Linked DNA regions of Canis lupus familiaris. The protein of the gene in region 1 binds, or shares a complex with, the protein of each later gene. Links are inferred from orthologs where the notes say so. Each region holds a gene or a part of one and is shown on either strand. Other genes may lie near its edges.

What was found. Proteins that work in one complex are often made in the same cells at the same time.
Region 2: TMEM126B (region 1) and COA1 share a complex: the UniProt entries of both Homo sapiens proteins name them as parts of the mitochondrial complex. The link is inferred for Canis lupus familiaris from reciprocal best matches to the Homo sapiens genes TMEM126B and COA1.

The regions. Positions count from the first base shown.
Region 1 is NC_049242.1:13,911,772-13,916,163, forward strand, and holds the start of TMEM126B (complex I assembly factor TMEM126B, mitochondrial), read right to left. Parts: upstream 2,963-4,392; 5' UTR 2,890-2,962; coding exon 2,809-2,889; intron 1-2,808. UniProt on the Homo sapiens protein: As part of the MCIA complex, involved in the assembly of the mitochondrial complex I. Participates in constructing the membrane arm of complex I.
Region 2 is NC_049239.1:6,614,958-6,619,240, forward strand, and holds the start of COA1 (cytochrome c oxidase assembly factor 1 homolog), read left to right. Parts: upstream 1-1,388; 5' UTR 1,389-1,407; exon of another isoform or gene 1,408-1,643; intron 1,644-1,823; exon of another isoform or gene 1,824-1,908; intron 1,909-3,786; coding exon of another isoform or gene 3,787-3,798; exon of another isoform or gene 3,799-3,813; intron 3,814-4,283. UniProt on the Homo sapiens protein: Component of the MITRAC (mitochondrial translation regulation assembly intermediate of cytochrome c oxidase complex) complex, that regulates cytochrome c oxidase assembly.

The sequences.
Region 1 (4,392 bases):
AAAGGAAGAACATAGGCAGAGGGAGAAGCAGGCCCCCTGTGGGGAGCCTGATGCAGGACTCAATCCCAGGACTCCGGTATCATGCCCTAAGCTGAAGGCAGACATTCAACCACTGAGCCACCAGGCGTCCCTATTTTTACACTTTAATAGATGAAAAAAAAAAAAAAAATGAGGTTCAGAAAGGTTGACCTCCCTTAGTACCTAGTGTAGAAGGATAATCTCCTGAGATACTGAGTTTTTATTTTCCTTCAGTTTCCCCCAAAGGCAGCGAGGTCCTTTGTAGTTCTTGCTGTAGCTTTTTCAGAGGTAGAAGGAAGCAATAGCTACTTGTTGGCAACTATCTCATGAAAGCCTGAGCTCATTTTGGAGATTATGTTTCCTGAAGAAGCAGAGCAGGGATTGCCTTGGAGAATAGTGACAGAGAACATCAGAAAGAGGGACACTGTTCCAGGCTAGGAAGAGGTAGTGGGTCATGGATAGCTTGGATTACATAAATTATATATCCAGCTCCCTAGGAGCCCCTGGGGCAGAAGCATAGCCTTTGCTGGAAACTTTATGTGGTATACCAGGGAGCCTGGACTCATGGCTGTGTCCCAAGTGTGATGTATGAACAAACAGTTGCCAATGTCAAGGGACCATGTAGGTTTATACGGTAGCATCTTAAAAGGAAGTAAAAAACAGTGATAGATAAAACAAAATTGGATCCTAGGAAAGGATCCTTTTTGAATGTTTTGCTCGGGGTTAGACTTGGATCTCTGTCAAAAGTCTTAACATTTGTTAAATCTTTTTATTTATGGGATTGGCATTATGGGATTCTAGATGAGATGATGAATAGATTAAAAAAATATGGCCCTTCACAATTTATATTGACCTCCATTTTAACATTTATAATCAAGGGGATAAACTAGATCTCAAATATCAGGGGTCTCAGGCAAGAGAATTGGAATGGATTAAGCATAAAGAACAGAGAAGATAAAAAATCGGTAATTCTCAACCTTTAGTGTGCACAAGAATCACATGGGGAGTTTATTTGAAATGCGATCTCTTGAACTCCCTCCTGATATCTGGATTCAATGGCAGTAGGGTGAAGTCTAGAAATCTTCATTTTAATAACATCAGTGATTCTGATGCTACTAATCAGTGGACACATGGCTGTAATTGTTGAACATCACTATAATTCTCATTTGCTGAATAAGTGATATGTACCAATCTTAACCCTAACTAACGAAAGGCTAATTCATCCATGGCATCAACATTCTGGAGATATGGGCTCTTCTCAACTTTCATAAGCCCAGGACACAATGAGTAATAATGGAAAAGTTTTCCTGCATCATTGCAGAACTGGACTCAGCTAGTACTACTCTTTTTGTTTAAAATATCTGGAGGACAAGGAAAGAAATTATAAATTACATTTTTCTCACAGACTAGATTTAATCTTTTGGCTCTATTGAACATCTAAATGGAAAATGGAAGATAACAGTAATATCTAAGGGAGATTCTGTATCTAATCCATCTAATGTTCTATCAAGGCAGATAACAGTAACATGGTAATTTATCATAGGTTTGTTTAAAATAAATGTTTATTTTACTGTCATCCAATTCATTTGAGTCTCTTACTTCCCACAAAGAAAACTCTTAGGCAATGCCTTATACCAACCTTCCACCTTATCTACACTATCAGTACACAGGGAGCCCAGAGACCCAGTATTATGATTCTAAAATGCTGAAAAAGGACAAATATGTGTTAAGTACAAATATTTATGTAGTGCCTAGTCTTTGGAAAGCACCGTTATTAAAGCAGAGAAATAGACTAATAACTTTCTGATACTTTTTTTTTTCTGATGGACTCTTAACAAGTACTAAAATGTAAAGACTTTGCTATAATCAACTTTCTAAAACTTTTTTCAAATTTTTATTTAAATTCCAGTTGGTTAACATATAGTGTAATATTGGTTTCAATAGCTGAATTTAATGATTCATCACTTACATATTAACACTCTGTGCTCATAAGAAGCGCCCTCCTTAATACTCATTACCTATTTAGACCATTGGCCACCCACCTCCCTCCATCTACTCTAATTAGTATTTTATCTAAAAACTGACTAGTCCAAGGCCGCTAAACTGGTCACCACTATTATCCCCGTAAGACTGTATGTATTCAGGTTTATAGTCTGCAAAGCATTTTACCATATTGTTCTGCTTTTACGTGTAGTATTTACCGGACTTTCAGAATTTTATTCAATATTCGCTCATCATTTACCAGCACTTGGTATTCGACAGACCCCAGGGTAATTAAGATGCAGTCGCGTTCTCCGGAATCTACAACCCAACCGAGGTCAGGACAAAAAAGGCAGGTAATTTAAAGGCAGAATTAGTGTGCCATAAAAACAAAACGAAAACAAACAGAAGACGTAAGAAAAGCCAAACTTAACCTAGCCAAGAGAAGTGTGGGAAGGCTTCCGGAGTAAGTGACGTTTAAACGAATACTTGAAAAAAAAAAAAAAAATAAACGAATACTTGAAAGAGGAGAATTTGGTGGGGTGGAGATTGCACGGTAGTATTTCAAGTTGAAAGCCAGCTCAAAGGCCAGGAGGCAAGAGAAAAGAAACTGCAAGCGGTCGGGACCGGACTTTAGGTCTCCCGCTTTCTCTCCGCCTCTTTCCACAACTTGGGGCTTCACTGGTTGCGCCCTGCACGGACCTGGGAGTCTGTTCGCTTTAGATTCTGAAAGCCCGTCATTTCAGAAGCGTCCGTAAATACACGGAGGCTGCAGACATCACGACTCCTACCGCCCCGGGTTCCCCCTACCTTGGACGCTTCCCCCGCTCTCGCCGGCACCACACCCGCGTCCTCCCGCTCAGCCCCGGCCGCACGCCCGAGCGCCGCCATCTTGGCGGGTCACATGACTGGCGGTGGGCGGGGACCCAGAGCGCCCGGAGCGGGAAGCGGTGCCGGCTCACGCCTCTCGCCTGCAGCCCGGCCCTCCCCGGCCCAGTCAAAAGCCGCGCCCTCCATCCTGGCTGTGATTGGGCGCGGCGTCCAGAGAGGAGGGCGGCCCATTGGCTTCGCGGGGTCCAGACGCCCGTGGGCCCGCCTTCTCGCCAGCCCAGCCTTCCCTTTCCCTGCTCCGTGTTAGCCGAGCTCCCCCTTGCCTCCTGCCGAGGGGTGCGTGGGGGCGGTCCGAGCGCGAGGATGTGGCTGCGCGCTCTCCTCCCCTCTGGGCACCTCGGTTAGCTGGGCCGAGCCGCCCGGCCTCTTCGCTCCTTGGGGGAGTCCTCCCCTCTGGCCTGGCTCGTGTGTTGAGGCTCCGGCTCCCCGGGCACCTCCTGCCCAGAGCTCGCAGCCGGCAGCCGGCGCGGCCCCGAGCAGCCTCCCCGCCCCCCGCCGCGGTCTGGCTCCTCTCCCGGCCGTTAGTCCCCTCGTATTCCGTCCTTTCACCCCGCTCGGAGAGGGGCCCGGGGGAATTCAACCCCCACTGCCCAGGAAGACCCCTCTGCCGGCCGGTGTTCCGGGGTGCGGGCGGGGGCGCTGCGAGGAGGCCTGGCGCCCTTTTGTGCACGTTCAGTGCCCAGCAGTACCTCCCAGACCAGCACCCCCGACCCTCCAGTCTCCATGTCTTAGAGAAGCCAAATTCGAGAGTTATATAATTTCTAGTGCTGCTGTCTCTCCTGCCTGAGGAAACACTTCATCGCGTGGAGGGTGCAGGACATTTCTGTGCACTTCTATATAAGAACGGGGTGTGGGCAGGGGTGGCCAGCGGTAGCAGAGAGATTGCTGGTCTTTTCTGCAAGAGGAAGGTGGGTAGTTTGGAGAGAGATGGAGAGAAAGGGTGGATGTGGAAGCCAAGCAGCAGAACTCTGATGTAGGAGATCGCGAACCGTTTCCACAGCTTGTGCTCACATGCCTAATACTACCACATCGTCTCAGAAAACACCTCTGGGGGAAGGTTTGACTTCTCTCGAACAGTCTCAGTGTTTTTCCTCGCCGGGTAGGGAGCTGCTTGGATGCGAAGAGATGGCATGATGTGAATGACTCCAGTGTGAAGAAATCTGCTTCGCCAACTCATCCTGCATCAAGTGCCCATTGAGTAGCGCTGTCACTTTAATGTCTCCATGCCAAGGGATTGCTTTCCTTCTTTTCAATCCTCTCGGTTAATACATGGGAGGATCAGAATCAGAGGGGCATTAAGGATTAAGCCCGAGGGGCTTGGAGAGCACAGAAGAAAAAAATGAAAGTGACAGCAAGCTGGATCCTGTCTTACTGAGGGGGTGAGATCTGGAACTTCTGGTCCAGTAAATAAAAAGGGGCCTTTCAGTCTGTGTTCTGCCCCCAGAAAACTGTTCAAACTCACCCACCTTTTCAGAGACCAGAGTCAAAAGGCTTCTAAAAGTA
Region 2 (4,283 bases), on another chromosome or scaffold:
ACAATAGCTAATAATTTTGGGCACTTACAACATTACTAGCGCTACCTAAACTCATTTTATCTTCACCTCTATCAGAAAATAAGGAAACGTATTAGATATCCCCATAAGAACTTCAGAAAGAGGGTGAGCTCCAGGTTTAAACGACATGAGATTACACTTGACTAGTCCGGTCATGTAACACATCAAATTTAGGGGACCCACCAATGCCGAGACCCTACTTTTTTGGAGGAAAGGTACCTGGACTTCAAACTTACGTGAAAAGAAAAAAAAGTCAATAATGATGGTAATAGTGGCGATAATCATGTGGGAAACAAAGGCAGAAGGAAAATTAATTCCCTCCCTACTTGCAGCCCATTGACGAGTCCTTGAAACGGGCGGAGTGACATTCTTCTACGGGCTCAGCGGCCCCCATGTTGGCTTTGCTAAGGGCAAAAGGGCAACCTTGGCCTGACCCGCCAGGACCCTGCAGGTCTTCTTTAACATATAAAAATTCCTTTGGAAACTTCCTTTATTTTTATTCTGGAGTCAAGATACATGTTAGCAACCATCTTCCAAGCACAGGACCTATGGATACGTATCTGGCGGGGGGGTGGGGGGGGTGGGGTGTCTTATGATCAATGTTTTCTTTTTTTATCTTTTTTTTTTAAGATTTTATTTGTTTATTCATGAGAGACACACACACACAACACGCAGAGACACAGGCAGAGGGAGAAGCAGGCTCTACGCAGGGAGCCTGATGCGGGACTCGATCCCACGACCCCGGGGTCACGACCTGGGCGGAAGGTGGCGCTAAACCGCAGAGCCACCCGGGCGCCCTAAGGGTTTATTAGACAATAATATATGACCTTTTCCCAACAATAACTAACGCCTTCAAGGTCCTGGCAACCTTGTTTCCAGAATTCCTTTGAAACTTACAGACTTAGAGACTATCGCCCCCCACCCCAAGTTGAAGGTGTATAATTACTACCCCTCACGACCCCATGCAGCTTTCTGTCCACAGGTCCTGTCAGTAGACGTTTAATGAAAACCACCTCTTGGGGATCCCCGGGGGGCTCAGCGGTTAAGCACCCGCCTTCGGCCCAGGTCGTGACCCCGGGGTCACGGGATCGAGTCCCGCGTCGGGCTCCTGCGTGGAGCCTGCTTCTCCCTCGGCCTGGGTCTCTCTCTCTCTCTGTGTCTATGAATAAATAAGTAAAATCTTAAAAAAAAAAAAAAAAACCCAAACCCACCTCTTTTGCACGGAAGTCCTCTCAAGAATTCTTCCTCAGCCGAGGGCTTCCCAGGCCGCCATCCTCCTACGCGGTGACGGCAGGACGACCAACAGGGCGGTGGGCACGGCTGCGGCGTACGACCGCGGAGGCCCAGACGCCACCTGAGCGCTTTACATCCTTGGAACAAACGCACCGGGTAAAAATGCTGTTACCGTTCCTCGCGCTACTTAACTCAAGTCGTCTACGTTTTTCTTTTTTTTTCTTCTTCTTCTTCTTGCCCTCGCATTCCCTGGAGCGCCGTAGGCATTTCGCAGCGATTGGATGGATAAGACTGTCGTGCTGCCGTGTGTCAGGCGAAGGCGGCGAGTGGGCTCCGCGGGGGCTGCCGCAGCGGCGCGGCGCGGGGCGGGACAGAAGGGCGGGCTCTGCGGGGCCCACCTCGCTCCCCGGGCGGGGCCGAGCGTCCGCGGCGGCCTCGGCCCGCGACTCCGACCTGGCCCGGCGTGCCCCGCCCCCGCCCCCGCCCCCGCCCCCGCCCCGGCGCGTCCGGACGCTCTAGCCCGCGGGGACGCCGCGCCGGAAGTCTCCGCTGCTCCTCGCGGGGCGGGCCGGCCTGGGGGCGCGCGTACCCGCACTTCCGCCCCCGGAAGGAAGGCAGGCGCGCGCTTCCTGCGGCGCGCGGTTGCGGCCCGGAAAGGTCAGCGCCCCCGCGGCTCCGAGCCTCGCGTTCCTTTCACCCTCGGAGACGTTTGTCGCCGCAGCCTGCACGGTTGCGTGTGTGTGTGTGTGTGTGTGTGTGTGTGTGTGCGCGACGGGGCTGCCGGCGGGGGTCTCCTCCCGGGGCTTGGTCGCGGGGGCAACCCGCCTGCTGCCTGCGTGGTGTCGGGGCCCCTGTGGGCGCAGCGCCCTAGGAGGCTGCAGGGGGCTGCCGGGTGCTGCAGGAGGCTGCCAGGGGCTGCAGGGTGCCCCCCTCGCCCGCCTGCCCCGGGGTTCGGGGGTTCGGGGCCGCCAGCAGGTGGCCCTGCCCCGCCCTAAGCTGCCCTACCCTGCCCTGCCCTACCCTGCCCTACCTAGCCCTGTCCTACCCTACCCTGCGCTGCCCTACCCTGCCCTACCCTGCCTGGCCCTACCCTACTCTACCCTACTCTACCCTGCCCGGCTGGCCCTGCCCTACACTGCGCCGCCCTACCCTACCCGGTCCTACCCTACCGTACCCTACCCTACTCTGCGTGGCCCTGCCCTACACTGCGCTGCCCTACCCTACCCGGTCCTACCCTACCCTACCCTACCCTACCCTGCGTGGCCCTGCCCTACACTGCGCTGCCCTACCCTACCCGGTCCTACCCTACCGTACCCTACCCTACTCTGCGTGGCCCTGCCCTACACTGCGCTGCCCTACCCTACCCGGTCCTACCCTACCCTACCCTACCCTACTCTGCGTGGCCCTGCCCTACACTGCGCCGCCCTACCCTACCCGGTCCTACCCTACCCTACCCTACCCTACCCTGCGTGGCCCTGCCCTACACTGCGCCGCCCTACCCTACCCGGTCCTACCCTACCCTACCCTACCCTACTCTGCGTGGCCCTGCCCTACACTGCGCTGCCCTACCCTACCCGGTCCTACCCTACCCTACCCTACCCTACCCTGCGTGGCCCTGCCCTACACTGCGCCGCCCTACCCTACCCGGTCCTACCCTACCCTACCCTACCCTACTCTGCGTGGCCCTGCCCTACACTGCGCCGCCCTACCCTACCCGGTCCTACCCTACCCTACCCTACCCTACCCTGCGTGGCCCTGCCCTACACTGCGCCGCCCTACCCTACCCGGTCCTACCCTACCCTACCCTACCCTACTCTGCGTGGCCCTGCCCTACACTGCGCTGCCCTACCCTACCCGGTCCTACCCTACCCTACCCTACCCTACCCTGCGTGGCCCTGCCCTACACTGCGCCGCCCTACCCTACCCGGTCCTACCCTACCCTACCCTACCCTACCCTGCGTGGCCCTGCCCTACACTGCGCCGCCCTACCCTACCCGGTCCTACCCTACCCTACCCTACCCTACTCTGCGTGGCCCTGCCCTACACTGCGCTGCCCTACCCTACCCGGTCCTACCCTACCCTACTCTATCTACCCTGCGTGGCCCTGCCCTACACTGCGCTGCTCTACCCTACCCGGTCCTACCCTACTCTGCGTGGTCCTGCCCTACACTGTGCTGCCCTACCCTACCCGGTCCTACCCTACCCTACTCTACCCTGCGTGGCCCTGCCCTACACTGCGCTGCTCTACCCTACCCGGTCCTACCCTACCCTACCCTACTCTGCGTGGCCCTGCCCTACACTGCGCTGCCCTACCCTACCCTGCCCTACTCTACCCTGCCAGGCCCAGTCGGCCCTGCCCTACCTTGCCCTACCCTGCCTGGCCCTCCCCTCCCCTGCCCTACCTGGCCCTACCTGGCCCTGCCCTACTCTACCCTACTCTACCCTGCCCGGCTTGGATGGCCCTGCCCTACCCTACCCTGTCCTACCCTACCCGGCCCTACCCTACCTTGCCCTACCCTGCCCGGCCCTGCGTACCTGAGAGCACATTTGTGAAGAGTGGGGCGTCCCCTCTGAGCGGTGGAATCGGGCACTTTGTTGATGGTCCTGAGTTACAACCCTGTGAGGAAGACCCTGCCTCGATGATCATAGAGAAGAATTTTCTGACAGTTGGTCATGGTGACTTTAGTCCCCATCACTCTTGAATTCCATGCAGGGTTCTGACAGTAGAAATGACTAGATTGTTGGAGACAAGGACATATGAGCATGTGTGAGCGTCAGTCGGTGTGTCGTGTATAATATTAAAAATCCGTAGATTCTTACACTTTGATACTTGTTCCTTGAATGTTCCTCATTCTTACTTGTGCTTTATTTCTAAGGCACTTTTTTCCCCCTCTATTTCATATTTGCATAGAAGTAACAAACCGGGCAGCCCAGGTGGCTCAGTGGTTGAGCATCTGCCTTTGGCCCAGGACGTGATCCCGGGGTCCCAGGATCCAGTGCTAGGTCGGGCTCCCTGCATGGAGCCTGCTTCT